Linked DNA regions of Oryzias latipes. The protein of the gene in region 1 purifies or fractionates together with the protein of each later gene. This does not show direct contact. Links are inferred from orthologs where the notes say so. Each region holds a gene or a part of one and is shown on either strand. Other genes may lie near its edges.

The links.
Region 2: the proteins of wwp1 (region 1) and spartin purify together in Homo sapiens (affinity purification with mass spectrometry; 5 studies listed by BioGRID and IntAct, counting the BioPlex papers as one, with this or other methods). This does not show direct contact. The link is inferred for Oryzias latipes from reciprocal best matches to the Homo sapiens genes WWP1 and SPART.
Region 3: the proteins of wwp1 (region 1) and ptpn14 purify together in Homo sapiens (affinity purification with mass spectrometry; 3 studies listed by BioGRID). This does not show direct contact. The link is inferred for Oryzias latipes from reciprocal best matches to the Homo sapiens genes WWP1 and PTPN14.
Region 4: the proteins of wwp1 (region 1) and smad6 purify together in Homo sapiens (affinity purification with western blotting; 3 studies listed by BioGRID, with this or other methods). This does not show direct contact. The link is inferred for Oryzias latipes from reciprocal best matches to the Homo sapiens genes WWP1 and SMAD6.
Region 5: the proteins of wwp1 (region 1) and smad7 purify together in Homo sapiens (affinity purification with western blotting; 3 studies listed by BioGRID, with this or other methods). This does not show direct contact. The link is inferred for Oryzias latipes from reciprocal best matches to the Homo sapiens genes WWP1 and SMAD7.

What each region holds. Positions count from the first base shown.
Region 1 is NC_019878.2:10,304,773-10,311,717, reverse strand, and holds the start of wwp1 (NEDD4-like E3 ubiquitin-protein ligase WWP1), read left to right. Parts: upstream 1-2,390; 5' UTR 2,391-2,523; intron 2,524-6,945. UniProt on the Homo sapiens protein: E3 ubiquitin-protein ligase which accepts ubiquitin from an E2 ubiquitin-conjugating enzyme in the form of a thioester and then directly transfers the ubiquitin to targeted substrates.
Region 2 is NC_019871.2:8,300,305-8,306,206, reverse strand, and holds the end of spartin, read right to left. Parts: intron 5,268-5,902; coding exon 5,120-5,267; intron 5,005-5,119; coding exon 4,810-5,004; intron 4,687-4,809; coding exon 4,528-4,686; intron 3,176-4,527; coding exon 3,085-3,175; intron 2,950-3,084; coding exon of another isoform or gene 2,895-2,949; exon of another isoform or gene 2,301-2,894; coding exon 2,096-2,300; 3' UTR 1,421-2,095; downstream 1-1,420. UniProt on the Homo sapiens protein: Lipophagy receptor that plays an important role in lipid droplet (LD) turnover in motor neurons.
Region 3 is NC_019882.2:9,165,029-9,171,700, reverse strand, and holds the start of ptpn14 (tyrosine-protein phosphatase non-receptor type 14), read right to left. Parts: upstream 4,209-6,672; 5' UTR 3,812-4,208; intron 1-3,811. UniProt on the Homo sapiens protein: Protein tyrosine phosphatase which may play a role in the regulation of lymphangiogenesis, cell-cell adhesion, cell-matrix adhesion, cell migration, cell growth and also regulates TGF-beta gene expression, thereby modulating epithelial-mesenchymal transition.
Region 4 is NC_019864.2:16,416,097-16,422,801, forward strand, and holds the start of smad6 (mothers against decapentaplegic homolog 6), read right to left. Parts: upstream 4,013-6,705; 5' UTR 3,360-4,012; coding exon 2,570-3,359; intron 167-2,569; coding exon 110-166; intron 1-109. UniProt on the Homo sapiens protein: Transforming growth factor-beta superfamily receptors signaling occurs through the Smad family of intracellular mediators. SMAD6 is an inhibitory Smad (i-Smad) that negatively regulates signaling downstream of type I transforming growth factor-beta.
Region 5 is NC_019870.2:9,745,420-9,750,927, forward strand, and holds the end of smad7 (mothers against decapentaplegic homolog 7), read right to left. Parts: intron 3,068-5,508; coding exon 2,532-3,067; 3' UTR 2,196-2,531; downstream 1-2,195. UniProt on the Homo sapiens protein: Antagonist of signaling by TGF-beta (transforming growth factor) type 1 receptor superfamily members; has been shown to inhibit TGF-beta (Transforming growth factor) and activin signaling by associating with their receptors thus preventing SMAD2 access.

The DNA.
Region 1 (6,945 bases):
GTTTCCATCCTAAAACCCTTTTTCCATTTTTTTCCTCTTTGTAGAAGTTTTATTCTGATGCCTAGTTTTGCTATAATTTTTGCTCTTTTGCCAGGAGCAAGTTTACGAAGGAGGAGGGGGCTAGCTCTGAGGGAGTTTCAAAATACCTCATGGGTTGCTTTTTCTGTAATGGATCGCAGAGTTTGTGGCTTTTGCTGTCGTTGCTGACAGCTCCAGACTCCCTCCATGATGGTTTTCAAGCATTCTGTTGACTGGGCTATCCAGCATCTCAAACAGTCTGATGCTTCATGAGGTCCAAACACAAAAATCACTGTTCTTGGTTTAATTTTTGAAAGCTTTTGTCAGAACACTGCTGGTCTCATTGTGATCTTTTTATTTTTTTTGTCTAATAAAAAAAATTACCTTTTACTTATTCTGCTGTTCAATTTTTGAATGATTCTCCTTCAGGTCGAGTGAATACCGATACGCTTCAGCTCTAAAAGGTTCTCTAGAGTTGGCGGAGTGTTTATAAAAGGTTGGTCCTGACTTTTTGAGGAGCCATTGATCGTCTGCTAAGCATTTTTATTTTTAAAAGGTAGATTTCTTTAAACTGCCCTCTGACTCATTGCCTGCATGGCCACAAAGTTCTAATAAGCTCTGATTTGAAGTGAATTAAAAAAATTGTGGCCTGCATGCAGCAACTTACAGGCGATAAAAGTAAATTTTCTTCAGGGCATGCCATGTTCTCAAATGATCTCATGCCACTCTGTAAAACTGCAGGTTTATAGTCTGACAGAGGACTTTGGTCACAAAGTTGTTGCTTTTGTTCTTTTTTACGGGATTTCCCGGCCCTTACCTCACCATTAATGTCTTACGTCTTTTCATCAATGATCATAATTCCACTCATTTTTTATCTTTGTGATATAAATGTAAACTGGTATCCTAAATGTAAAAGAATATCGCAGTAATTATCCATATTGAATTTGTTTATGTCTCAACATTTCCTTGTCTTCTGTGATAGAAATCCTAACCTGATATGTTTCTGTCTCCATTACGCTCTGCAGGGCTGCTTTCACAGGCTTGACATTACTTAGATTTAAGGCTCAGGAACCTTCCCTAAAGCTTTGTTCTTCCTTCCAAATCCCTGAGAAGTTATTGTCGGAAGCTTTTATTTCTCTTCTTTTTATTGCTTCGCAGTTGGATCATGGAGTTTTGTGTGTTTGTGTTCTCATGTTTCTTTTGAAACTAGGTCTTATCCTCACAAAGACAACTGAACTCATTCTTATATGTCTAAAGAAAGCATTAGTTGTACAGTGGGGGGGGGGGGGGGTCTTGTTCGATGATTCTGTACGTGGTCCTTCTTTAAAGATCAGAGGTCTGTAATGTTTACCACAGCCACACTTCAACTGTGAGAGACAGACTGAAAAGAATTATTCAGGAATTCACATTGTGTGATTTTTAAACATTTCATTTCTACAAAGGTGCTGAAATAAGAATTTGGTCAATCAACTTTACCTCAATAATTTGTATCGCAACCCTGGTTTCAATGACAGACGTCATATGTTTCCTGTGGGTCTTCACTAGGTTTGAACTCACTCTAGCTGCTATTTTGGTCCATTCTTCCTTGTAGATCTTCTTAAGAGCTGAAATGTATTGGAGTTGTTGCTGGGCAACACAGGGTTTCAACTCCCTCCCTATATTCCTGGTAAGAGGAATAATGTGACCTTGGCCCGCCGAGAAGTTGTTACATTACAAACCCAAGCTTTTTCAAATGACAAGTTTTTTGTCTACTCCTGATCCAAAGACAATTTGAAAAAAAGAAATCGTCAGAAAAGCAATTTTCATTTAAATTTTTTTTATACATGTCCTCCATCACAAGAAAAAGACTAAGAACATTTTAAAAACACAATTTTCATTGGCATGGATCTTTAAAACAGTTATCCTGTTTCCTTTGAAGAAAAGCGGCCCCAACGCATGATGCTTCCACCATCATGCTTCACAGTCATTGAGAAATTCTTTCAAAATATTTTTAATAACACAAAAAAACTAAACAATGAGAAAAACTAACTGTTTTGGTTTGATGTTTTCCAATGTCTCTGCAAAGTTTCCATTGAGGAATTAAAGTTTGACAGCTTCCAATAAAATTATGTTTAAATAGCTGAAACCAATAATTAAATAACTATAATAAAGTTGTCAACCAAAATAATAAACCAAGCTTGCAAGTTTTCAATTGTTTTAATTAATACAACACAAATTAGAATGTACTTAAATACAGATAAATATTATTTAAATAAAATATGAATCCGTAAAAACCCTCACATGGTTTTAGCAGACATGTTATATTAGACTGTTGGTTCTGACCCTGTCTGCCGTTATCGGATCTGTTGTTATTACACAGCAGAATTCGGGGTGGCGCGCGCCCGTTTCACTGGTCGGAAGCGTACAGTAGAGATGGCAGCAGAGCCGTAGTAGACTGCGAGGCCTGTACGGTTCCCGACAACCGCTACGTGACGAGCAGGGATTGTAAATGGAGGAGCGAACAAGGTAAAAACAACACCGCCCGTGTTCTTTCTTAACCCATAACACACCAAGTTCCCCTCACGACGGTGAATGTGTATTTTATCCATTTGACTTTGCTTCCCGTCATGGGGGACAATTAGCCAAGCTGCTAAGTAAGTAAGTTAGTTAGCACGCCGGCTAGTAGCTGGTTGCTAACTCTGTTAAGTTTGTTACGTTAGCTAGCTAAAGAAGCTACACACCTAAATAATAAACACACGATAAAGTTTCTTTATGCGTCCTAATATTAACACTTCGATATGTAGGCAACCATTATTAATGGCAATTTAAAGGCTAGGTATCTATAGCCACCATAACAATACTGGGAAGCTTTATTTTAGACTCAAAAGAAATCAGAAAATATCACTCAATATTCGTAAAGGAATAAAATAAAATGGAAAACAGAAAAACACTAAGCAGTCAACATCACGGATAGTGTAGAAAACTGAGATCCTTCCAAAACCTCCCAAATGGCACTTCAGGAATCAAACGTCACTAATTTGAGGATTTAAAAACACCAGTTACAACAGAATTATTGTGTTTAACGAGTCATGCATATGGAGCAGGAGAGTTGTTTAAAAAAAAAAGTAAGATAGCTTTTGAGGTTACGTTATAAACTTTAAATTAAATGTAAAGCTTGGTTAATAGTTTTAATTTCATTGTTGACAGTGTTTTGTAATTCCATGTTGTAAATTGCACTTCAAACAAGGAATTGTATTATTGTTTTGTAATTGCTTGATACATACTGTGATATACAAGTCAATTTATAAAGGTTTTACAGCTACATTTGCAATTGCATTTGAAAATACATTTTTTAAGGGGGAATCCTTTATTTTATTAGAAAACCCTCTTGATTTAATAGATTAAAAGAAATTTTCCATATTCCTTTATTTTCATTGTACTGTCCCCTGGTGCATTTCAAATACACTTTGCAATTCAATTTAATTAACTGTTTAGCCTCTCCTTTTATTTTTTGTGTGACGTTCTGGGGCCTTATAGTAGAGGGAAACTGGTACTTGAAAGTACCCCCGCTCTCTGATTGGTTACACTGTGTCATGCTGTCATGGCTACCTCTTAGAGCAGAGCTGTCCAACCTCTGGTCCTCAAGGTCTACCACCCTGCCTTGTTTTACTGTTTTTCACTGCACCTCTCTCTGCTGACTCAGGTGTCTCCTTGTTCCGCTTAACTGAACTCACCTGATCCGGGTAATCAGCCGCACAAAGTGGAGGCAGAGCTGGAAAACAGGCAGGCCTTGAGGACTGGGGTTGGGCAGCCCTGTTCTATAGGATCATGCTCTTTAACACCAGCTTCTTTTAGTGAATTCACATAGTGGAAGCCACAGCAGTTCTGGATTTTTGGGCTTCAATAACTAGTGATAATTCATCCTTCTGATCACAGATGCAGGTTGTTTATCTTATTGACTTCATTACACTCAGTAGTCCCTTTGAATGAGCTAAAACAACTACAACAGGTGTAGATTTTGTGAGAGGTTTCTTTGCAAGAAAAGCTATTATTGTAGATATCTGATGATTATTTCATAGTGTTAAATCTAAAGAGAAGTAGGGCTGTGGATTATTACTTGAGTGGCAATCTGATTCATCTACAGAAAACACTTGATAGCTTTACTTTGATAGCTTTACTTTGAAGATTGATTCACTTTCTGTGACAGTAGCACAGGTTTGTTTACTTTATATTCTTAAATCCAGCATTATTCAGCAATTTTAAAGTGATAATTACATTGCCTGAAATGTATTTGTATTATACTCTTCTATGTTTATAAAGATCGCAAATGAATGATCTTAAACGTCACAAATATCTGTTTTAAATTTTTCTTGTACTGATTGTGGATATTCTAGTTTCTAGATACTCCTTACAGCCCTTGTGAGAACCTTTTGGCAAAAGCACGCAACATTTTTGATCTTAACAAGTTGTGCCTGACTCTACAATCCATTCTAATTTTTGATCTTTGGTTGTTGTTTAAAGCCAGGCTTAGATTGTTCAGTGACTGTTTCAATCGTCTTTTCCCACACAGCTTTAAACCGGTAAAGTCCTTTTCTTTGGATATCAGTAAAACTGCTCCGTTTCTATGACATCAAGGATTCCTCCTCCTGATCTAGAATTCCCTCTGCAATGCTCATACTGCTGACATGCGGAGTGTGTTGAGGCTTTGTCATTCATCAGCTTCCACTGATCACTTCCCACAACAGAAGCCAGCCTTATCTTTCTGTTCAAGAAAAAAAATTTCACACTATCGTACCAACAGAAATAATTCTCACACACTGATTGATGTCTGATCCTCACATACATATAACTGAGTAAACAACGGCTGATTGATGGCTGCCATGTTTTTTGCAAAGCATTTTAGATAGGGCTGCAGCTATCGATTTTTTTTTTTTGTAATCGATTAATCTAGCACTTGATCGATCGATTAATCGAGTAATCGGATAAAACGATTTGTGTGTGTTTTTGAACAACCAAAACAAATAATGCATAACAAAAATGATGTGGTTGTAAAATGAACAAGCATTTGGCTTTTATTTCTCAACAGAGGTATTTATTTCCAATTCCAAAAGTTTGGCTCCAAAATTTAAGTGCCAAGTTGGCATTGCCAACAATTATAGAACAATGTACAGTTAAGTGAACTTACAGTAACATGTATAACATGTATTGTAAAACTAATATGAATATAAACTTAGTTTTTTGTCTTCTTAATACACAACATTACAAAAAAAGGATTGCACCTTCTGCAAATTTAGTTTAGTTAACCTGGGAACAAAAAATGAATATAAAATATCGAGCCAAACAGGTACACAATGTATACAATGTATAAAAAAATTATGTAAATAAAAGAATTATAAACAATTATAAATAATAAGCTGTAATCTCAAAACAAACATCAAAATGTACGTGTTTGTGTGCGTGCGTGCATGTGTTTGTGTGTGTGTGAAGGGGGTCTTTTTTTAGGCTATACTCTCTTGCAATTGAACGTGATACGTTTACTACTTTAAAACATCATCAAAGTTAAACATCATATCTAGTCAAACCGCATCACGACATCGCTACAAATGCAGTATGGGATTAAAATCAGCGAACATCAATAGGCTTAAACTATGTTAATTTACCTTGTTTCAGCGATGCTTGGTGAAACAGCATAGAGTGGATGTCTTCTGTTCAGATGCTGAATCATGGAAGATGTACTGTTGTCGTATGCCAGCTCTATTTTGCCGTGACATCTCACGTTTTCTGCCGTTTACTTATAGATCTATTCTCCGCCATCGCACCTACTAAATTCAAAAGGCCCGTGTGAATAAACGGTCCGTGTGACACAATCAAATCCCTGCGCCGCGCGTATGGTGCACGTAGGATTTTAACGAGGCTTCGAGGCAGAGTTTTTGCCTCAAGGAATTTTTGTAATCGAGTAACTCGAGTAACTCGAGGAATCGTTTCAGCCCTAATTTTAGAGACTAAAATTAATTACAGGAAATATTCATTCCTATTTAGTAACATTTTGCAATATTATTATTGGGTGAGAGGAGAAAGGTGTTGATGAGTTGATCGGTTTAGATGGAGCATTTGAGGTTATCATTTCAGCATTTGTCAAAAGATCTGTGCATGATGAGAACTCAGAAAAACACTTATGTTCATGTGTCTATATTATTTTTAATTTTTGGAAACATGCAAAATATTTCTGAAGACTGAAAACATTTTACAAGTTTGCAGAAAATCTTTACAGCTGTAAATCTCCTTTACACACACTCAAATATTTTTACAGCCATCAATCCTTTTTATACGAGGATACATTGGTATTGCAAAAGCAAAAAACCTTTCTGCTATTACAACTTTTTTTTTTTTAACAGATGCAGACATTTTGTTTGAAGAGGCAAAACATACTTGCATGTGTGAACATCATTTTAACACAAACTACAAAATACCAATAAAAGAAATATAACTCTATAGCAATAGGGAACCTGCTGAGTTACATTAGCAGTGGTTTGATATCCTGCTTGACACTCCATTTGTCATGGCAACAGACAGCATTATCATGCAAGCACAGATGAGTAAATATTAGATCAAATGAGGCCTCATGGCTTCAACTTTTTAAAGGAAAACATTTGGGCCCATTTTCCTACAATGAATCCGGTGAATGTAGCATTCCCAAACTATATGCTTGATGCTATGGGCTGTAACCTGTAGTTAAAAATAAACTTAACAAGAAAACATCCAGCCAGTAATTTATACAAATGTTGCTATTTTATGAAGCTCCATGTATGCTGGAAAAAAACAACAACAGAATTTTGTCTGCGGTGCGCGTCTCCGTTGTGTGGTCACACGACTGTCAGCTAATTTATGTTAACATGCATTATCCTGTGAGCATGTCACCAGTTTAATTCTGAAAGTACAAAGCAAGTT
Region 2 (5,902 bases), on another chromosome or scaffold:
TAGCATTTATTGCTGTCAGCACTTTTGGCTTGATTCAGTTTTATGCCAGCGTTTACATTAGTGTTAGGCTTCTGTCCAGTCGCTGATGCTGTACTCTTATCCTCTGTCTAAAGGATTACATGCAGGTCTGCTGACCAGGTAATTTGGCTAAAATGTTCATAAAGACAGAGAAAGGTTGTGACTTTGAAAAACTTCTTTGTTTCTGAGAAGGTCAATAATCTTGTGAATTCCTTATAACTTCATAAACAGCATCTTGGCAAAAGACAAGCAAGTTAAAATCAGCATTCTTTAGACTTTAGGCTTTTATTAATGAGTCTAAAGGGGAAACTACCAGAAGAACTGTTATTCTGCTGAAAAAAGTGAGTTTTAAAGTTTCTTCTTGCAAAGATTAGTGTAACATAAGTTTTTTTTGGTCATTATTTTTGTGTGTGGTCTTTACTGTAATCTAAAAATTGAAAAAAAAAGATTTTCATTTGCTATATAACATTTTTGTTTATAGTGGAAAATCAGTGGTATTTCTCACCAGAACATGTTGTTTATGGTTCTGCATTTTTCCAGCTGACCACATACAACTGCACTTAATGTCTGTAAATAATAAATAAGCTACCTGTCTAATGTGTCCTCATGTCAGCAGCAAAAGATCTTATCCTACGTGAACAATTATTTCGCTTTCATTAGGTTAACATGTCAACAAGGACAGGGTGCATTCACAAGAGCTACACAGATTTATTTTTTTAGTTTGAATAAAATTAATCTAAAAATACTTGATCTCAACTTTCTGAGAAGTCATCTCTGGAAACCAATGAAGAAAGTTATTACATTTTTTAAATTTGATAGTCAGGAGTGACTGCAGGGTACCAACTTGGTGCATTATATCTATTTATTTATCCCCCAGCCCTGACTGGGATGCTGCATCCAGAAGAGAATCTGCAAACAAGTGTATTTGCAGTTGTCTCCTGCATCAACAGTCGATGGATCGAATATTTGCTCCAGCTGACGGCCTGACCTCGGTGGACGCCTGGCCAATATTGTTGGACAAATCGACTGTTTCCCCGGGGACAAATGCTGCCGATGTGGAAGGATCAGCTTCACTGCAGTCTATGAAAAATGGTTGGATCAGACATGGGACTGGACCAGATGTCATGGGAAATTCTAACAAAATGAATCCTTTTCTGTCTCAATTGTTAAGTTTCCCATTCTTTGGAAGAAAAGAGATAAGGCTGTATCTTTGTTTTCCCCTCCCTGACAGTTACACCGAGGGTAATATTCTTTCAAAAACCACAAATCTTTTCGACGAGTATTTACAAATGACCAATTTTCATCCATGCAATATGCCTAAAATGTACGGTTGTGTGACACAGCCTTAAAAGTTGAAACAACCCATCTTGTTAAGTGGTTTAAAAAAAAAAAACACTAAATATTTTCATGTTTACTTCAAATAAATCTTTATTTAGGAGAAAATTTCATTGTACATGGCTAGTGTAGAGCACATCAGATTTAGACAGATTTGAAGGTATAGCAGCTGAACATAAATATTTCATGTTTTTAGACACCTGACATTTAGACTAAAGAGCCAACAACCATTTTCTGACTTCATCAGGAATGTTCCAGAAGAAAGTTTCAGAATACAAACATTTACAAACTTCCAAAATGGTTTATTGTGTAAAGGCACAGTCAGCACAGCAACCAAACATATCAGACAAGATGAAATTTGAAGAAATATTTATAAAAAATATTTAGTTTTGGTTAGTCATTTACTTACAAACACACATTTATGAATGACAGTTATTGAAGAGTAATTCAAAATATATACGTTTTTAATAAACAGATTTAAATATAGGGGCTTTCATGTTGAATGGTCATATCTAAATAATACTTCTAACAGTAAAGTGATATTTTGGTTTGATTTATACAATCACGTTAAAATCCTGCTGTTCTATATCACAAAGATTAAAGTGCTCATCTGTATAAATTAAGATATGCAAATCATAGCAGTTCCATTTGTAATATAGAAGATGTTTATAAACAGCTCTCTCTTTAATATTGTATTAGTAACCTTCTTAAGGCATAGCTGAGGTAACACCGTCAGACAGCACTATTTCTTGAAACTCTCTACTTGCTTCCCGCTCTCTGGTTTCTCCTGAAGCCTGTAGTCTTCCAGGATGGCTTGTGCCGTTTGCTTGCCCGTTCTTTTCACCACGGCTTTGATCCCGAGGTTGTCAATGTTGAAGGCAGTGATGCCGACATTTATGGCTGAATTGACAGCGTGGTCTGTGGCCTGTCCCGCTGCGGCCCCGTACCTTGGAAGTCAGATTGGGTAAGAGGTTAGAGCAAAAGAAAGATGCAGTGATTTAGGACTGAAAAGACACCGAAAAGGAAATATCCATGTGAGGGTCATGCAAGTGCAGGATTTGCATACAAACTTGTAAAAATTCAAAGTCCAATTAATGTTTGAGAGTAGGCAGGCATGACCAGAAAATTAAAAGATGCACATTTCTGTTCTTCACATGGACATAGAAACCATAACTACGACCTCCTGAATGTTGATTTCCCACCAAGTCAGAAACAAAAGAAGTTTATTTAAGGAAGATTTCATTAAAATCAATATTTTTGGGTGATTCAGCAGAATGGAATCAGCTGGAATCAACTTTGTTACGTTAAAATCGGAGCATATAACGTGTTATTAAAGCAGGAAAAGATGTTATAGTTAAATTATTACCAAATTAGGACATTTATGTCAGAATAAATTCTGTTAAAGTAAAGGAATGTAGTGAATTAACACAGAAGGGAGGGAAGTAATGCATTTTTTCCTCAAAGCAAAATGTTAAGAAAACAGAGAATTAAATTATTCATATGCGATTAATGAAGTGATTAGTAAAATCTCTAGTGTATAGTTAGTTACACGTCTTCTCATTAGGTGTGTCGAAGACGTTTTCTAGGCCCCTAAATCTGCAAAGCAAATTGAAAATGTACAAAAAAAGTGAAAATTTAGTTATTTGTAATATGGTGCAGAAACATAATCTGAATCAAAATATAGCTATGATGGCGGGCACAATTAGCAGGTGAAAAACGTTGAAAATGTACTTGTGTTTTACGGTGGTGACCGTCTCTGCTGCAACACTTGAAGCAATGTCCTTGGCTGCCGATTCCAAACCGGTCCACATGGTCGCAAATCCTAGACAAAAACATGGTTCCAGCACACATTATGTTCAAAATTCAACTTTTCAACAAATAAATGATATGCAATAAGAGTCATTTGGTGGTTTACCCAATACAAATCTTAAAGTGGAAGTTTTAGAGGTGCTGAAAACTGAAAACATTTGCTCCCATTTTTTTGGTTCTTGGTATGACCCAATGACCCAATTGTGGATTCAAACCCACAGTCTAGTGTCTTGAGGCAGACATCCTCCCACTAGGGCACAGAACTGAGTTTTCCTACTAAAACCTAACCCTTAATGTACATATTCACTTACACAAGTTTTAGATTTTACAAATGATTACATTATTTATTTATTTATTTATAGATAATACTGATCTACAGTGAATTGTTTATGCACAGATTCAGTTCAGTGGATCAAAAACAAACGTTTTTTTATTTCAAACATTTCTCTCAAGTATTTCATGTACTTGTATCACTTTTTGGTCTTGAATTAATAGAAAAATTAATACTTTTCAAAAATAAAAGCATGGTTAAAAATGACATTTCAAAGCTCATCAGAACTTCTCTTATGAATTTAGTCCTAACGTTCCATAAAACCTGGAACAGTTTAAAAACGTTTTACCTTTTTTAGTTTCTTTCCCTTTAAAATGCATCTTAAAATAAAAAGAAGAAATAAGAATTATGCAACATTCTTTTTCATCATTTAATTGAAGTAATTAGTTCATGCCCAGGTTTTTCTGCCGAGATTATTTACAAACTTTATTTTATTTAATTTGAATCCAAAAGGGGGAAATCATGTTTGGTTGGTAAGAAGACATTTTTGCAATACTTTTTCTTAGATTTGTATCCATCAGACATTACCTAAGTATGTTGCTTTTTTTTCCTACAATGTGCTTTGAGTTGACTTACTGGAAATGTATATAATTAAGACCAAGTCTAAGACCACTTTTTTATTTATTTTTTTACTAAACTAAAGATTTAGAGCATCATTATCTAAAAATCACAGAAGAAAATAAATCAACTCTTTGAGGAAGAGTTTGTGGCCAAGCAGGTGGAGGAAGAGCAACAGAAAGGTTTTCTCTGCTTAACTTTTGCTAACCCTGACAATAAAAAAAGTAAAGCCTTTCATGAAAATCTTAAGAATTCACTTTGACATTAAGTTGTTCAATCAACAAAATCTAAATGTGCGATCATATTCATGAATTTATTCCTTTTTTTATTTACACAAGTTTATCCAGTAAAAACATAAAATTAAGTCAAAAAACTGGATTGAGGTCTTTAAACTAGTTCTGCTTAAGTTTCTGAACGTCAACATGAAGTTGGTTCCACATACATCTCAAGGAAAACAAAGAACTGTTTTGCTTTACCTTGAACGCCACTGGCAGCTACAACCATCGCTCCATCAATGTTTGAGCGCCCGTCCTTGTCCTTCTTCATGGACTCGGGGATGAGCTTGCCTCCATGTTTTTTGACATGAGGCGCCAACTCACGGCCCACACAGCCAGCAACTGTACAAACACCATCCACTAGAGACAACAACAACGACAACAACAACAACAACAACAACAACAACGCTCCGTTAGAGATCTACAATAAAACCCGGATATAAACTCTGTGAAAAAAACTTTTCATGACTATGAAGATGTTACCTAGAAACTGGCTGACTTTAACAGCTCCACCGGTCGCCTGTTTTGCCACGTGGAGGCTTTTGGTGACAGTGGGGCTGACTTGGGTGGGCTTGTCCTCTGGTGTGATGTGCTCTCTGAGCATAGATGCCCCTTTGTGAATAGCCTTGCCAGTGTATGCTGCCCCTTTCACCAGACCCCAGCTCAACCAGGATGCCCCTAACAGGATAACACACAGCGAGTCAGTCAGGATTATTGACCGATATTTGATAACCAATGGATAAAACACCAAACGAAAGGATAACAAACTTTAAATAAAAAAGTGTGCCTTTACCAGTCAAGATTCCACTAGCCACCTTTTCACTCCATTCAGGGAGAACGTTCTCTTCCTCCTTCTCGGTTGGTGCTGGTGCCGTCTCTTCGGGTGTAGCAATAGGCACTTTCTGACTGAGATTAATTTCTTCTGCTGCTTCATCTGGAGCCTGAGAATACAAACACATCGGTCAGCAAAAAGAAGATGTGTAAAACAAAAATGTTAATCTGAAAGCCGTCAATCAGTTTGTGCAGATGATTCTCGTCTCTGCCATCGTGCTGCCGATGTGAACAATAGCTTCTCTCATTTCCTGCTTTCTAATTACAATGAATCCTTTGTCTGACACAAACAAAAGTCTGCAGAGTCAGAAATCTTTGAAGCGACAGCCCCAAACCTCTACTTAATCTCCTATCAGAACAATTAAGAGTGCTTACTGTCTGACGGGGTACGACTTCCATCAGAGAAGGTATCTAGGTTGACTTCATTTGTCAAAAATTAGTTTACAGGGCATCCCTCTGCTCAATCACCTCTGCCTCCATTGTGGCTGGACTGAAACGTGTCTTTGGGTTGACACTCTTGGATGGTTCCAAGTGCCCCAGATAAGAGCATTAGAACTGATTAGTTCTCCTCACCTGCCAAACTCAAATCCCCACAGTGCTGAGAGAGGGGAACAAATGCCAAAAGTAATCACCAGGAGGGCCTTTAGGTTGGAATAAGAGCACCAAAAACATTGGTGTTCCAGTGTCTTTCTGCTGAATGCACACATTAGAGATTTTTGTTTGTGAGCAGAAACTATAATCCCTG
Region 3 (6,672 bases), on another chromosome or scaffold:
GGGAGAGGTGAACAGGTCGCTACATGCTCTCTGCTCTGTTATTGTGCACAGCAGGATGACGAAGGGAGCAGGGAGCACATAGCCTACGACAAAAGGCTCAGATGCCCATTCAAGTCAAACACCAGAAAGCAGGCAGCATGTTTCACTGTACACTGATTATTAACGGTTTATGGGCAAGTTTGGAACAACTAGGTATTTAAAAATGGATGAAATGATCCGATTAATATGTTTTCTTAAAAGAAGACCAACAAAACTACCGAGACAAAGCTACTTCTTGTTGTTTTTTAAGCAACTATGTGGTATAATCTGCTCTCATATCTGAAAAAAAAAGCTTTAAATGAAGTAAATTACAATGAGACCTTTAGAAAATATTCAAATTATTATATATACAGATTGCATGCACTGCAACTGGTTCTCTGTCAACTCATTTACAAAAAAGGACCTTGTGTCCTTGTGGGCATGTTAAAATGGGTTCAATCTAGAATTTTTAACCCAGTTATACAAGTCAAATGTGCAGAAAAAGGTTTAAACTTAGCTTTTTTCCTATCCACTGGTCTTCAAAGTACTTTCTCCCTGCTTCTTGTCTACATTTTGGCACATACTTGAAAAAGTCTTAATATTTATTGACACTGATGAGTGAGCCGCCATGACACTCAACCCAGCTCACCAGACATAATTGAGGGTTCAAGGGTCATGTCCAAGGATACCTTAACATGTTGCTAGTTGGGAGCTGACTAATCTGCCCCTGACCCACAAGCAAAAAAAAAAAAAAGTTGTGATGTTTTTATTTAATAGAGTAAATATATAAATCAACTAAAACCCTAAACCAAACAGCATCTTCTTCATCAACTAATGAAGTTTATTTCCAATCTGAAGCCACGACGTTAAAAAATTACTTAGGTTAATTGATGTCAGGTCTGTGACACAATTATCATAAAAATGAATGTCTTGTAGAGGCAGAGTATTGGAATGAAAAGAATGAAAGAGGCCATTTGATCTGTAAAAGTGTTGGACATATTTTGCTGTTAAAACAGAAGGTTGTGGATCTTCTGACACACAATATGTGCATTTGTGTAAACCACTTCTGTAATTTAGGCTAAACTTGATTTATATTCATTACATTTGTTTGTGAATGTGCGTGTGCATGGGTGTGTGATCGTGGTCCTGCGGCAGACTGACGACCCCAGCCTTCACCCAAAAGTGGCAGGGATAGGCTCCAGCAGCCATGTGACCCCGAACGGGAGCTAACTATACAGAAGATGAATGAATGAACGAACATTTGTATTTTCTTTTTTTTTTTTTCGTTGGACTGGACAGAAAAGAAGAAGAGGAAAGAAGGAAGGGATGTCAGTGACAGGGGGTAAGGGCACAGAAGAATGGGGGAAAGGGGGGGTGAGGAGATCTGGAGGATGATTACAGAGGTGGAGGTGGTCTTTTAATCCTTAAGCAACAAGATTTACATCAAAAGTGTTTTAATAACTGTTAGAGTCCCACTCGGATCATCTTATGATCCATTTTCAAAGCGTTCCCAGTCGTCTCTTAATTATGATTATGCCGTTTTTAGCCTAAATCAAAAAACCTGTGTGGTTCTATAGAACATAGTTTCTGCAGAGCAGCAGTAGTCCATCAGAAATTTTGCCTCTGAGTTGTGGGCAGAACAGTGGGTGCGGCGTAAGACATCCCCCTTCCCTTCATCCATCCGTTTACGTGCTCTTTGGCTAGCGTGCAGCCCCTCACAACCCCAACCAAACATTATTGCTGCATGGCGAAATGGCGAGCAATATTGAAGCTATCCAGCTGTACGGTTTTGAGCCAGATTCCAGCTCAGACGAGGAAAAACAAAGATCAACATGGATGCATCAGAAGGGAGCGGAGAAGGCAGTCTAAGGACTCCTGATTCACAAATGTTTCTCTTTTGGCTTTTCCCATCAGGGGTCGCCACAGCGAACGAGTCGCATAGTAAACTTGGCAATGTTTTACGCCGGATGCCCTTCCTGACGCAACCCTCTCAAAGCAAACGGGCTTGGGACCGGCACAGAAGGGAACAGGGAGCAGCCCGAAGTCGAACCCTGGTTTTCACGGACGGAAGGCGCCGCAAACCAGCACGAGCTAAACCGGCTCCCCTCCTGATTCACAAATATTTTAATTAAAAAAAAAAATTCAGAATTGAAACTTTAAGCTAGATTTTTTTTCAATATTTCCTCATGAGAAAAACACCACAAGAACATGGTAAAAAAATAACTAAAAACACGGCCTTTAAATACTTTTAAAAAACATTCCTCAACACCAAACTGTAGATGGGTTAGAAGTTTTATTTTCTACAAAGCAGAAGATAAACAAACAATTTAGAGAAACTGAAGAAATCTCTGTGTGTCAGGGACAATTTAAGACAACATTCCTTGTGATTGTGTCGATGATGCTGCCAAATGATTCAAGGAAGCAGAAAGGTTTGAGGGTGAGCCCAAAAGCTCCATCCTGCAGAAAGGAAGCCACAGGGCCCAGAAGCAGTGTGTCATTAGGTCAAGATTCATTTAAAAAGGAGCCGTTTCAAAGTGGAACAGTGTTCTGAGGTCAGACGAGTCCACATGTGATGGTCTTGTTGGTAATCAGACGCCATGTCACTGACAGACCCGTCAGTGTGCTCTCTGCGCTCTATTCAAAGCCGCCATCCTTGGCAGTATGGGGAGGCAAAAATGCTTCTATTGATCCCCATTTGGACCAACCGTTCGGTCCGTCTGTTTCTTCAACAGTGGCCGGAGTGGTGCTTTAGTGATAACAGTGACCACTGATGCCCGTTTTCTTCTGCTTGCCAAAAGCATTCGGCCAAAATGACATTTATGTTTGCACCACACTATAATCAAACGGCCTATGTCCTTAAATAACAATTGGCTGCACAAACAATAACCGCTCAGGCTGTTAACTGCCGGGCGGCAGCATCCAGTAAACACCTATTGTGGGGATTGACCTTCAGTGAAAATCAGGAACGGCACATTTCAGCTGCTTTCCTCTGCTGCTGCTGCAGAACCACCTCAGCCACCTCCATGGAGTGTGTGGAGCAGGAAGTGGATAGGTGCTCATGCTTCACATGTTTTAGTCCTTTAAATTCTTCACATGGGTGTACTCCCAAGTCACTATGTAATTTAAACAGCGTGCCTTTGAGCTCATAAAGATAACCAGATGCGCGCGTGCTGTAACTATCCTTTCTTTTCCATTTCAGAGCACACAGCAACCCCACCACCACCACCACCACCACCACCTCCTCCCTCCCTGCCTGCCTGCCTGCCTCTCTGCCTGTTTGAAGTGGCAGTCCATAGAAATGCATGTCCAAACACATCTTCTACACAAACATGAATGCCAGGGTGTGAGAGACCAACAGAAAAACATCAGCAGCTCTGCTCAAACTCAGCTCCACATGTTCCAGACACACCTGTGTGCATTCACTTACCCTGACTGGATCAGTTCCCGGGCTCCATGTGGGACCACCACAATCTCTGATGGGTTTTCTTTAGGTAAAATATGACACTTTCTGATTGATCCCCCTAAAAGTCATCAGTTTTCTTCCATTTCGCATCTTTTTGTGAGCATCTTTACCCAGCCTGAGTCCAAACTGTGTGTTTATCTGTGTTGATCTATGAGGGGAGAGTCATTTCTCCCGTGATACTTAATTTAACTTAAATGTTTGTATCATCAAGACTGATTTACACAGTTAGCGTTTCCTCTATTTTTTTTTTCAAAGTCAACACATCCTTGCTACGAACTTCAAATAGTTAAAACACAAATGTCCAACTTTTTCCTCAGAACTCAAACTCACCTTTTTTTTTTCTTTTTTCTTTTTTCCTTTGCGCTACATTCCAAATCTCCTCGGTTTTGGAGGCGATTCGCCGCGGAGTGGGTTTAATCCTCAGAAGAGCCTTTTTTTTTTAAAGCAGTTTAAAATTCCGACTGGGGAGCAGAGATGTCGAAAGTCTTTTCAAACTTCACAAGAGAGAAAAATGATTGAGAGAAAACGCCACCAAAGCTGCTGCGCGTCCCCAAGCTGGTGCTTTTTCGGAACTTCTTTTGTTCTGATGCTCTCATGGCGCACAAAAACTGCGCAAAACTTTGGTAAAAGTCGTGCAGATCGGCCAAAGATGTGCTCTTCTCTCGCTGCAACTCTTCGTGTGTTTATAGTAGCGGTCCCTGCAGTCCAATGGAGGCGTTCAGGGCGGGCGGGGAATACAGAATACGCTGCGTTCAAAACCCAAGAAAATAATCGGAATAAGGATTTTTACTAAACGTGTTCCTTTTTATTTTTTTAATCGGTGTTTTTCTAAATATTTTTTAAGTACATTTCTCATGCATTCTTACATCATTAGTCATAACTTTATATTATTCATAAATTAAATAAAAATGTGTATTTAATCTGTGCTTTCAATTTTGTTTTTTTGAAACAAATTTCGGGTTAAAAATTGTGTTTATGAGAATTTTACCCATCTTTCATTTATGCAGTTTTTTTAATTGTTTTTTTTTTTCATTATATTTTGGATATTGGATTTTCCTTGTTCTTTCTTTTCTTCTTTTTTTTAGTTCATTGCCATATGATTTTTATATTTTCTTATTATGTTTATGTATACATCTCTTTCCTTTTTATTTCAAAGCACCTTTTTTGCACTTGGTCATTTAAAATTGCAACTAAAATAAAGTTGTGTAATGATATAAACAAATAACCTCAGAACACCTCTGTGTTTAACCATAATTAGATTTTAAATTTCATATTTCCTTAAAAAATTTTACTGTAGCCAATATATGCTATTTGCTTGAAATTTAATAAATTGAAAACTCTTTTGGTAGCGCTGGTAGCGTTGATGGTGTACGTGAACGCCTCATTGGGTCCAGACGCCTTCAGAGCCCCGCCCCCACTGTTCTGACATCAGAGTGGAGAAATCCCAGGAATGCGGGAATTCTGGGAGAAGTCCTCTGCGTTTAATGGTTTTCCAGGGGCCGCGGGAGACTCACGCACAAAGTAGGGCCCCCCTCTCTTTTTTATGTTCCGCCGTTGCGTGCTAACGACGCTGTGAAGGAGTAAATTCAAATAACCGACAAATATAACACGTTTTTAAATATATGTTGATCCATATTTATCCCAAAAGTACCAACAAAAAAAAGTGTTTTTTTGTATTATCTCTACTTGTTGCAATGTTAAACTTTTACACTTTTTCACACTTTGTAAAAAAAAAGGCCATTAAAAGAGAATTTCTTTTTTTAATTTAATAACTGTACTTATTTAAAAAAAAGTGTTATCTAGAACTACAAAAATAAAATACATTTTTAAAGACGTCAAACAAAGGATTTTTCCTGGATGTAAATATATATTTAATTTTTCAAACATAGGCCTTTTTTTACAGAACACATGCAGGGCTTCTTTGATTTTCTGCCTTTTATTGCTAAAGTTTGTCAGGATTTTTAACTGTCTCAGATGTGAAAACTGAAGATTATCATACTGTATTTGTGGACAAGTTGCAGCCTCTTGTGGCTGAAACAGCAAATGACAGCCATAAAAATAAGCAAAGGACATACTTTCAAAAAATACTGAAAGAATTTATAACATTAAATTCTCAAATACAATAAATTTAACCTGCCATAGATCAAATGTTTAAGGCTCATCTCTCTGAGAGCCTGCACGGGGGTCAAAAAGATGCTGGCTGGAGCCTATCCCTTAATTTTTTTAAGGCCAAAGGCGGAGTACACCTTGAATGCGTCACCACATCTATACAGGCCCATCAGAATTGTAGTGATTACAATAAATCATTAGAACAATTTTTTTTACATTTTTGCAAAAAAAGAAAAGGATGATTCAAAAACTTCTGCTGTAAAATCTCTAATATATCTGCTTTCTTTTGTTTATGTAGAGCTGGCTTAGGAGCACATGTTCAGTCCTGATTGATTTTACATAATGAAACCTTTAAACGGCAAAAAATGTAATTACACCCCAACTATGTAATTTTATGAAGAAAAACGACAAAGACGTGACGTTATTTTGATCGTTATTTTGATCATTTGATCGTTATAAGTGACGTTATTTTGATCATTTGGAACATAAATTTTCTGTGGTGTCGTGCCATGTGCTGCCGATACACTAATATTTGGGTAGAAAATTGCTGTAATTGTTTATATTTGGGGGAAAAATTCAAGAAAAGTTAACACAAAAAACATTATCTTTGAGCTCTAAACCACTGGAATCACACTTTCTTTAATAGACTTAAACCACTTGAAAATAATTTAATTAAACTTGGAAGTTTATTTATGAACTTGTTAGCCTGTTTTGTACATCATTTTTTTTTTTTTTTTTTTAACTGTGAGACACTTGGAAGAAAGACAAAAGCAGGCATGTGACACGTTATCTGATGTCTGTGTTTAAGCAGACCTGCAGAATTGAGGTCTCCTCACGGAAGGCCTCCACAATAAAGGCTTCCTTTTAGAGTCCACACCTAAAGTCCGATCGCGGTGCCGATAAGCTCAAAAACACGTTGCTTTTTGACTGTGACCCTGCTCTGACCTGGTGCCTCCTGCATCCCAAAGTGGGTCGGCGCTTGGTTTCACAAAAGAACATTTTGATTTCAGCATCTTATGCTATCAAAGTGGCCAAACACATTAGTCACATGCAAGGCTGGTGCTTTTAGAAAACAAACACTG
Region 4 (6,705 bases), on another chromosome or scaffold:
GGGAAAATAATATGTGCAAAATATTAAGACTTCAAGATCACACATTCAAAAAAAATAAACAAGCTTTAGCCGCCACATAAATAAACTATTTGCAGACAGTCAAACTTACCCAGTGGCTTGTGTTCTTCATTAGAGGAAAGCCTTGAATATGGGGGTGGGGGTGACTCTGTAACACAAAACAGCAACATCAATAACCTAATGAAAGGAAGGAGGAAAGGTTAGGCGGAAAATCTGCTGCAGAATCACCAAAGTTTCTCTGCAAACGCCAGCCCCGTGCAAACACAATTCTGTTTAACTGTTTGAAGTCTGACAAGATCCAGCTGACATTTATAATACAACGCTAACATCACAGCATGCTATTTCGAGGCAAGAAAATCAGTTAAGTTTGGAAAAAAATAAATGTTTAATATATTTGGAACTTGTCTAATCGAACTTTAGTGCACACCTTAATCCACTTTAGAAACTTTAGAGAATGAGCTTACTATAGCAGATTCTGCGTAAAACTATGTTCAAAGCCTTCAATAAAAGGAACAGAATGATATAATACAAAACTAAATTTCAACCACAAGGGAGGCTTCAACACCATAGTTCCATTTCAGAGCAAGAGACCACATATTCACACTTTAGAGTCTGCTATAAATTCAAGTCTTTTAGGCTCCAAGCTGATTAAAAGCCTTCTAAAACCAACACAAAAGACTTTTATTTGTTCATTGTTCTTAAGCATTTTTATTAAACCAGAATAGTTTATTTTCTACAACCGCAGTCTGACGATAACTTTTAGTTTAACTTAATCTCTACTTTTCAAATTCAGTGTTTTCAGGATCTTGATTTCATCTAATAAAAAAAAAGTGAGGAAAATAGCTTGCACAAGAGGGAAAGCACAAAGAAAAGAAAACTTTGTGAGCACACTGTGACCTCGCCTGCAGGGAAAATGGGAAGGAGAAAAGCATAATAGCAGCGGGTCCTTTAAGAGTGGCGGCAGTAATTGCCAGGATCTGAACTCAGTCACTCAGATACACAGCTAGTCAGTCTGGCGCCAGTAGTATGCAAACTGTATATTATCACCACTCCTTCACCTAAATGGCATGAGGGGACCTCCTCAGGACAAAAGGGCTTTTAAAGCGCAACTTGAAACTGATCTCATTCGAAAAGTATAATGCCTGGCAAATTAGGAAGGAGAAGTTTCTGTCCACTTCAGTACTTTAAGTACTTTGCCTGTTTTTTTGTTTTGTTTTTTAAGTCTCTGAGAGAGAAAAAACTTTAAAGGACAACTTTATTTTCATATACTCAAACAATAGAAAATAATGCTAAAATAAAGCACAAGATTAAACCTGAGGAATGAGTTTCTTTTGACTCAAAGCCTTTTCATTACCTGTGTAATAATTAGATATAAGTCTCTATGTTTTACATTCTGGTTTTGCAAAATCTAAACCAGTAATTAAAGTCTTTATTCATAGCCCCCCTTCTTTTTGAATAGCGTGAAAGAAATACCAGCTCTACTGAGCCACGCATGAGCGCATGTGAGCTATGTCTACTATGAGCCTCAGTCCCAGTGCAGGGAATGTGCCTCTCTCCTCACAATTCATCTTGGGGGTTTTAGTGGAAAGGAAACCTGCGCTTCACATGCAGATGTACCAAATGTTCAACAATTTACATGAAAAATGTTTTACTTATTTAAAAAATAACTTATGATAAAACTTTACTGTATTTGAGTCTGATCATTTCTGACGCCTGCTCCACTTTTGAGATCCAGTAACTCATCAATTTCCCAACTATATGAATTTTGATAGTGCTGAACTTGTGACTTTAAAATGTTTGCAACAGCCCGCTGGCTCTGGACAACGTGGATGTTATGGAAAATACGCCTTCAATGCCAGTGAGAAGACAGAAATACTGACGCTTGCATCTTTACACATGACACCAAGCCTTGTCAATGGGTCAGCGGGGTTGAGTGGCCCAGCGTTTAAACTAAATCGCAGGCCCCATCCGCAGCCAAGTTTTAATACGTTTAATACGGGTCAGGGAGTCTGTGTGTCTTGAGGAGCTCACTCCAACTCAATGGAGAGGAACTAACATCTGAATCTGGACAATCTTATCATATGGGGGTAAAAACTCAAAAAAAACAACTAAAAACATCTGAACTGACAATAGATATATAGATGATCTAAAGCTATAAGGTGACAAGGGTTATAAGGAGTGCTGGAAACGGACAAACACTTGGTTCTGATGCTGTAGGCCAAAGTCATGCTTTATTCTGTCATGGGAAGATTTTTAGGCCCTTAAAAAGTTTTCTGAGCCTCTTTTCAAATGTTTAAAAGCATACTATCAACCAGGCTGTCCTTGGTTAGTTTGGAGTTACTGTGCTTCATGTTGAAGGAAGGAAGATGATGATGCTTCTTCTAAAGTATGAGAGCAGATGAAACTCTAATCTGAGTGACAATACAGGTTTACAGCATAATTTAGGCCACATGCTTCTCATATCATGTAGACTAATAGAAAATTAAGTTGCAGGATCAACATTGGGGGGGTCAGTTTGATCATAAAGGATGTGTTGCAGGGGGGGTCTTACCTGGCCCACAGAGCCGGCTGTAGTGATAGGGATTGCAGCAAACAGTGGGGCAGTCCAGGGCCCCAAAGCTCTTGCACTCACAGAGTGGCTTGAGCTGAGCCGAGTGCTGGAGGTCAGCCCAGCGGTACACTTTACACACCAGCAGCGGTGGAGACGCCGCATGTCCACCAAACTTCAGCTCCGTCCCGGAAACCATGACACATTCGCTCGGCATCCCTCCTCTGGACTCCACTGCCTCCAGTAAAGTATCCAGCGCCTTCTCCTTTAGCCTTTTCAAAAGAGAATATGTGGCGGACTTCAGTTCTTGCTCCAACAGCACGCGGGGCATCGCCTCGTGCGCGTCAGGAGAGCCGCCGTCTCCTCCTCCAAGGTTCCTCAGCATGAAGTGGCACGACCCTGGATCCCTGTTACCCTGAGCCGTTTCCGGACCCCTAACCTCGAAGTGGTCCCGGTCTTTAAATAAGCAGCACGTCACCGTCCTGCACTCGCTGTCCTGAACAGAGCGGGGGCTCCCCTGTTCCTGGACGCACACTGCGCCCTCATCTTGGTCCGACGTGACGCCCGAGCCGCTGCTCTCCACGGGGCACACGCACCCCAAGTCTCTTCCAAAGGACCCACTCGGGGTCATCGGTCTGAACTCCGTTTTGGGAATTTTCTCCGGGTTGTTGCCGAACAGATCGTCCCGACAGCCCTCACTAGTTGTGCCATTTCCATCTCCCCCCTCTTTATCTGGGATCAAACGGCTTCTCCACAGTCGCCGCACAAGACCTGAGCGTTTCGTCCTGAACATACGACACCTCGAACTACTAGAAGGGGGGTTATTCGTGTACGGATAGACTACACACACTTTTACTGTCGTTGCAAATCATCAATGACACCGAACCGCCGTGCAGTGCATGCACAGCCAACCGATGAGCACTGACGGTGCATTAGAATAAAGGCGAGTTTGTTGCATCTACAACAACCGACCCGCGACGCAAACGTACTGCAGCATTCCAACTGACAGGCATGCGTTCAGCTGGGGCTACGGAGCGGCTGCAGACGCTGGCTTCTTGTCCAGGCGGAGTGGACCCTTCAGTGTGTTTGTTAAAAACACGCAACAACACAACACAACACGTCCAGTAACATAATCCCAACGAGCAGCCTTAAGATCAAGTCCATGACAGTTCCCCGAATTGTTGGATCTACTTTCTACACCGGCGCGCAGAGCGTGAGGCAGCCCACTTCAATCCAATTAAATCCAATGAAAATACAGCAGAAGTAAAAGATCCTTTCCGCTTTCTAAAGATGTTCTTTTTTTTCTTTTCTTTTTTTAAATCCCAGCCAAAGCCTCCATGAAAGCGGAAACTACACGAATCCGTGGCTGAAGCGCGCGCCTGCGTCTCTGCTCAGACCTGGACCAAACTGCAACCTAGATCCCTTTCTTTCTTTCTCCGTTTCTCGCTCTTTTTCTTTTCTCCCCACTCTACCTCTCTCTCTCTCTCTCTCTCTCTCTCTCTCTCTCTCTCTCTCTCTCTCTCTCTCTCTCTCTCTCTCACACACACACACACACTCACACAGACTGGCGCACACACACGGGGCCCCCGAGGAGAGCGGTGGAGCCATTGGCTGACTACCATCATGTGCTAGTCTAGACACTTTGGCGGCTGTGAGCTGCACTGATTGTTGCGCAAACAAGGTTTCAAGTTTCTTAACTCTTAAAGGCGAAACAGTCACCTCTCGGTTTTTGAAGCAAAAACTTTCTGAAACTTATTTGCATGCATGCAGGATCTGTGCTGTAAGGGGGCTCTCAGTCAGTCACTCCCATGCACATCTCAGTATTTTTACTGTTTATCCATCAGTTCTCAGCCGCACGGCTTTCAATGCAATTCTGTTTATTTCATTATCTAAATATATTTCTGGAGGATATGATTCTTTGTCAGATATAATGTGCTCCAGGGGGAGTTTCAATACTTAAGATGAAAAAGCTTAATTCATAAAATATTGAACGCAGCCTGACATTAAACACATTTATGACTTCTAATGATTTGCTGCACAAGTTGTTGGTGCCAAGTCCATCAGTTAACCTTTCCCAGTGGGATGCGTTGAAAAGCTTTTCTATTTTTATTTTGAATTAATAAATTATATATTATAATAACAAATGTTATAAATAAAATTAAAAACACATTGAAACATGTATGAAAATACAAGCCATTTTTAAGTATCAATTTTGAAATAATTCCATTTTGATACTTAACTTATGATGATTAATGCAATGTTAGGAGTTTAGAAGTTGCAAACCAGATATGGTAAATACATAAAAACAAAAAAACAAGTAAAATAGTAAAGGAAATCATAATAGGGGTCCATTGGAGTATATAGGTTTGTTTCCTCCCACCCCTTTTCATGCAATTAGTTTAACTGTTTCGACAAACTTTAAATGTAATGAATTCAATGTGTCATGTATTGTATGTTTAAACAGAACTGTGTCTAAGATTAGAATTAATTATAATGGCATTTAATTATCCTTCATTTAAATTTCCAATTGAATGATGATCAATCATCTTAAGTTTGATATACCTATGCCTAAATGAATACACCTTTTTTTTCTTCTTTAGTATTATTATTTGTTTGATTAATTGAATTGAAACAATTCCAGTACAATCCATCCTTATTTTGAAATAGTCTGGTATTTTTAGTTTTTGTGTGTATCTTAAAGGGCCTACACTATATTCTTAAGCCTTTTATAGTAAATAATATCCATGTATATGATTTCATATTAATTTTGGCACACAAAAGTATGCTTTTTTTAGTGAAATATGAGAATCAGAATCTTTTTATTATCATTGTACATGATGATACAATGAAATTGCAGCAGCTTTGGAGTGATATAGATAAATAAAATAAAATAGAAATACTGTACTCACATCAACAACAAAAAATGTACAATATGTACAGAAAGTACAGAGTTGTAAATAACTGTACAGAGTTATTTTTCTGAGCTTTGGTCTTACTCAGAAGTAAGGCGACTTGCTCTCTGAGGCACTGGCTTTCTCTCTGTGTGGGTGCCGCACATTTTGTGACTTACCTATAGTCAACCTCAGCGGTGTTTCTTCGTTTCGCCCCCAAAACAAACATCCAAACTTTTGCAAAGATGGGTGTGCATATTGTGCATATAAAAGGAAAGTGTTTTTGTCAAATACCGCTATAGCTCCATGGAGAAAGTGTGTGTTTTTTGTTTTAGCAAGGGGGTGGTGCTGGCAGTGCAGACTCTTCCTGGAAGGGGCTGTTCTCACTGGTCTACGCCAGCTTGTGAGAACCTGCTTGCTGGGAGAGGCTGGTGCTCAGAGTACAAGTTTTTAGAGGAATACTCAGAAATTTGTGAACGGATTTAAAAAAAAAAGCTTTGGGGTTTCTTATTATGAGGAATGAACAAATATAATACACTTCAGAACTCAAAAGGTTGATTTTGTATGATATAGACCTGTTGAATAATTATGACATATTCACAATGGAAATACTATTAGAGAGGTTTTAGGAAAAAATACTATAAGAGTTGCACTAAATTACACAAGGGTTAGTTTTCATATATAGTTATTCAATTAAATTATTTTCTAAGAACTATTTCTTGATTTGTGCTTAATAAGCTTCAGTGTTGAAAGATCTTAAAGAACAGTAAATAAAATTAAGCAAATTTTGTCTTTATATTTACCAATTGTTATAAAAATACATTGTTTTTAAAATTGCAAGTCTCACAACAGGGAAATTACGCAAATCAGCTTTTAAAAAAGAAACTATTAAGTTAAGATTTATTAACACAAAACATGTTACAGTAAGAAATGTGTGTGTCATAGGAAATAGAATAAAAGAAATAGAAGCAACAAAAAAAAAAACTGGATGATCATCATCTATTTCAGGGGTCGGGAACCTTTTTGGCCGAGAGAGCCATAAACGCCACATATTTTGAAATGTAATTTCGAAAGAGCCATACAACAATGTAGTGTCCCTTTCCCACACTGAGGCACGGAAACCCTACCCTTTTTTAAGGTTCTTTATTCTGGTTACTGCAGACCGCAACAAACGCCGTACAATTAATTCAGCAACTCCTGAATCTCTCCCGCTGAGACGAGAGCACTTCTCCCAACTTTATTCCCCTG
Region 5 (5,508 bases), on another chromosome or scaffold:
CTATGCATTTCTGTTTTTATTCATGCCAAAAAAAGAAATATAATTCCTGTGTAACCCTTGTGTTCTCCTAGGCACTTTAACATTGGGAGTTGGGTCATCTAGACCCACTAGACAGTGCACTGATCCTTTTTTCATCATTGATATGTGATCTTCACTGGTGTCCATGGATTTCATGAAATCCTCTTCACCTTTATCCACCTTTGTCATGGTAGGAATAACACGTCAATGTAAGGATCGGGTCATCTGGACCCCATAGGTTAGCACAAAGGTTAAAGTTTAAATTCCAGGTAATAGTCGTATCCCAAACTTTTCTGCTCTTCACTTCCTTATAACCCAGGAAAATTTCAAACCTCCTTTTAGAATCAGCATAAAACATTTTTTAATGATGAAAAATACATTTTAGACATTTATTTTATAATAACTTTAATTTCATCTAAAGCGTGTGAAATTTAGCAGTAGATGCTGCCATTTCACGAGGGCCATTTTGTCAACTGCTCTGAATGTAAAAATAAAGGTAAGTAATTAATATGCTACTTTTTTAGACTACTAAAAATACAATTTACTTGATCATTTGCATCTGATTTGAACAAATTAAAGAAAATTGCTCTACATTTGTTGAAGTTTTATCCCAAAGGTTTATTTACTAGCTCATAAAGTGCTGCGGTTTTTCGGAGAGAATATTGATGCAAACATTTGTAAAGTAAACATGTGTTTTGTTAAGGTTGTTTACAAATCCTGTAACAGTTTTAATAGAATTATAGAACAAGGTCATCCTGTCTGAGGGAAGTCATGGGTCATGTAACCACAAATACACACGCACCCAAAGCACCAAGCTACTTTATCTAAATTTGAAAGGTTAGGGATTACAGCTGGGAGGGTTTTAGCCGGTTTTTTTTGTGTCATTTTGAGATTTGTCCAGAGATGCTAGAGGAACATTTAGCTTGCACAGTTTACATCTGATGTAAAATAACTGTTTTGGTGCTGGGTCCTCTTTGTTGAAAGAAAAATCAGTTGTTTTACTACAGGTTTTTTTTAAATGGGAAAGAATGCAAGAGTAGGAATCTACTAAAGGTTCAAGTTCATAACTGTTTGGGCTTAATTTCATCATGGAGAATCATCGTTGAATTCCATTTTACCTTTATGTGTAACCCTTGTGCTATCCTAGGCACTTTAACATTGGGAGTTGGGTCATCTAGACCCACCAGACAGTGCTCTGAACCTTTTTTCTTCAATGATTTGTGATCCTCACTGGTGTCCATGGATTACATGAAATCCTCCCCACCTTTATCATGCTAGGGAGAACACGTCAATGCAAGGGTGGGGTCATCTAAGATAGCACAAGGGTTAAAAAAAAGTCGTTCTTGCCGTTCTAAAAAGAGCGCAGAGTAGATATGGGATGGTGTGGAAAGTGGGTCTTGTGAATGTAGGGCTTTGAGACAGTGTATGGGTAAAGCAGGCTTACAGTAATAATCCTCTTCACAGACACCCATCTGACTAGCAACAGGACGAGGTCCAGACAGACTCACACACACACATACTAAGTGTTTATTAGATCTGGTTTGTCTCGTTTGTAGAGCTTTAAGCGTTCATAAATAGGCCATAGCGTCCACGGCATAGTCAGTATCAAAGACTTTAGTTTTGTCTCCATAGTTACTTTTCATAGATGTGACAAAAAAAATCTTCATCCTTTCTCTTAACCAAACATTTGAATAAACTGGTTCCTTTAGAAACCTGGACCCACTGTTGACTTTATTGGTTCCTGACAATCGCCATTACCGCTTCCTGGCTGTGATGTCATGAGTCAGGTAATGACAGAGAAGATGAGAGACATTCTTCCCCAAATAACTCAAGAAAACAGACAGTTTTTAGGCATGATGAGGCTGTAGAAACAGGGGGCTTTGAGATGGGATTCTGTCAAAGTCTGACTCATTTTTGTCTTTGAGGAAATTGCTTTTAAGATACACGGCATGGCCTAAAAGCCCTTTAGTAACACTAAGTCAAGCCAATGTTGACTTTAGTTATAAAGAAGACAAAATTAGAGGGGCTTTATGGAGGGAACATGTGGATCCAATTTAATGAACTGATTTGAAAATTGTGCAAAAAGAAGGCTGGTAAAATAATAATGTTAAAATCCCCCCAAAAGAAGGAAAAACCAAAGAGACTGAATACAAAATATTATTGGCTTTTTTTTATTATTTTGGCATTTCTTTGTTTTTGTACTTATATTAAGCAAAGTGCATCTTGTTTTTTTCTCATCAACACATTGCACAATACATAAATAATGATGCATATAAAACATCTTCATATTTACAATTAATAATATATTTATATTTAACATAAAATACATTTTTTTCACTTCTTCTTTAATTAAATTTCAGTCAATTATGAAACAAAGTCTGTCAGGATTTTAAACTTTCTTCTTCTTCTTTTAAATCCTTTTTTTTCTGTGTTTGAGCCGCTGGAACGAAAAAAGAAAGATGGGTGAAGTATTTTTTTTCCGAGGATGAGGGTGACGAGGGAAAAGGCTGCTGCTATCGGGTGTTGAAGATGACTTCTAACCAGCATGGGCAACTACTGATGAACTGTCTGGTGTAGCATTGTCCCCAGCCTTTCACAAAGCTTATCTGCACCGTGAAGCCTGTGCGAGGCTGCTGCGTGAACTCGTGGTCGTTTGGCCTCTGGAGGCTGTTGGCCTTGTCATAGTCAAAAGCTTTAATGGAGAATCCAGGAAACACCTTGTGCACCAGCAGCGTGCGTGAGTCTGGGTTGTCCAGTGTGGCCGACTTGATGAAGATAGGGTAGCAGCTGCGGTTGTAGACCCACACTCCGTCTGGCTCGCGTGTCAGCTGGATGCCATAACCGATCTTGCTCCGCACCATCTGCACCAGTTGGGACTTGTTGTCGGAGCAGAGCTGGCCCAGGCAGAAGCCGTTCCCTTGAGGTAGATCATAGAAAATGTCCAGAGAGGGCTCCTGGACCGAATAGAGGCGCCCAACGCGTGTCTTCTCCTCCCAGTAAGCCACCACGCACCAATAGCCTCGCTCAGAGTCCTGCAACGCCAAAGAATCTGAAAAAGAGGAAGCATAGAATGTTATAAAAAAAGTAACATCAATGATTATGGTAAATAAGTAAAGAGGTGCAAAGAGAAGTGGATAGAAAACTCAAATGTCAAATATATCTAAAAGGAAATCTGCTGCAACGGAAGAAAGTATGCTTTATCACTGTTTTGGGAAATTGCGACTTCTCTTAAGTCGGGAGCCAAAACAAAACTGTCCTCCCCAATTTCTGCCATGCAGGAAAGCCATGTCGGAATTCCTGGATCTTTGACAAGAAAATCAACCCAGAGACACAGCCAGGCAAGTTTCCACATGTACTACAATATTTATCTAGGCATTAAATGCTTATCTTCTGTCTGGCTCACTGTATTTTTGTAGCAGCACTGCCAACAATGTACTGACGTCAGCCTACCGTCCTCATCGTCTCTACAGCAACACTTCTCACTCTGCTGGAGGATATAAAATAAAAATAAAAACCCATCTTTGATTGACAAAGATAAAGCTAGGATGACTCTGGCGGCAACCAGATGAAGAGCTCTCACACAAACACATAAACCATGCGCGGCAGACGTTTGAGACAGGCCGTTAACTCTCGAACTCTGGTGTCTGGACCGTTGACAAGCAAGGCCTCACCGGTCTAAAGTTTCCCCTGGGTGTAAAAGAAGTGTAGAAATGGCTATGCTCTAGTTTCCAAACTCCTTCCCCCCCTCGCCTGTTTCCCCCCCTTCGGAGTGCCTCCTGTGCCGTCCCCCCCTCGCCCTTCATATCTCTATTCCGCAGAAATCTGGCTCTCAGCTAGAAAAGTGGGAGCCAGTCAGGCGCAAGGGAAATGGAGGGAGACAGGGAGGGGGGCGGGGAGCAGAGAAGGAATGCTTTTCACATATTTTGACTGTTACTTCTGCAACTTTTGCTTCCCTCTCCTGATCTTTAGGTACCTTTGAAGCTTTTGAAGGGTCCCCACCTCTTTGTTGCGACTTCTCTTATCTGGATTTGTCTCTTTGCTGGATTTTTTTCCCGTCGAAACAAGTTTTTACATAAAAAAAAGAGGGGAGACAAAGTCCCTCCCAGCACACATCTTTCTCATTTGACTCCCTCTTTCATTTGGCAGTAGCTGGGAATGTAACCGGTAATTTGGAAGGTCCCGTCTGAGACTAACTGTAATGGTAATGCGGCAGGATCTTTGCCGGTCCAAGCTGACTTAGCACGGCCTGTCATTAGCCTTCATTAAATGCAGGGAGAGGGGAGGGAAAAAGACAACATTAGGAGAGGAAGACGAGGATGGGGAAGGGGGGGGGGCGCAAACTGAAAGCATGCTTCTCCATAAAGCAAGAAGGGCTTGTGTCCTTTGAAGTTGGACCAAACCGAGCCAGAGGGGGATTTTATTTTAAATCTCATGGCGTGCACAGGAAAACAAAACATCCAGCGATCTAAACGGGGGGAAAAGGAGGGATTTATCTCCCAGATAAGACTTTGTGTCTCCTGCAGATGTCAGCCTCCGATCCTGACATGTCTTTTAGACACACAGGTGGATAAAGAGAAGGACTCAGACTTCTTAAAAGTTCACAGTGAGCCTTCAAGCGGCGCTCACCTGTGCGGCCTTCTGCGTGTGTGCGTGTTTGTTTTTGCTAGGAGACAGAGCTTGGCGTCACAGGTCATTAGAGAGACTGCCTGTCTGAGCCTGTCATTGCAGCCTGAAAACACCCTGCTATTCAGGACTGCACGAACTGCCCCGCTTCCACTGCCTCACGGGCTTCTTCTATCCACATCGGAGAAAAGAAAACCATAAAAGGAAAAACTGCAAAAAAAAAAAAAAAAAAAAAACACTGACTGATAATATTCCAAGCAGAAGAAAAAGCTACAAAGCCAGTAAAGCAACGCCGTTACAGCGATCCTTTGTTTAGGCAAATATCGCTTCACCAGACCGACTATAAACAGACCCAATAGACTCAAAGACAAGCTGCTAATCAGTCACGGTTGAATACTTTTTAGCACTTTGTCATAAAATGCAGCATTCTGCTCTTCATGTATGACACCGTGACATCAAATGGCCATTTCTATAAAACCATCACCATTCTCTGCCCAGCTTCAATCCCCCCTACAGGTAAACAAACTCATTCTGCTCAGTTCCTCTAGTGAAACTGGAGATGGGTGGACTGCTCCATCTAAATGTTCACAGATTGTCCAAACAGCAGGTGAGCTAACACCTCACACTGCCAGCTAAACATGGAGATTTCTAAAAACCCTCATTTTCTTTCCTCATGAAAGGCCTCCTTTTGAAGTTCATTTTGTGACACAAAGTGCGGAGCTTATCGATTGCGTGACAGACTCCCGAGGACCATGTGTCCCTTTTCCTAACACCTGAATTCTTACTGTTCATCTGTCTGTCTGTCTGCCTGTCTGCCTGCTGAAGCTTTAGCCTGCCTCCCCACCTGCTTGTCCGCACTCTCAGACT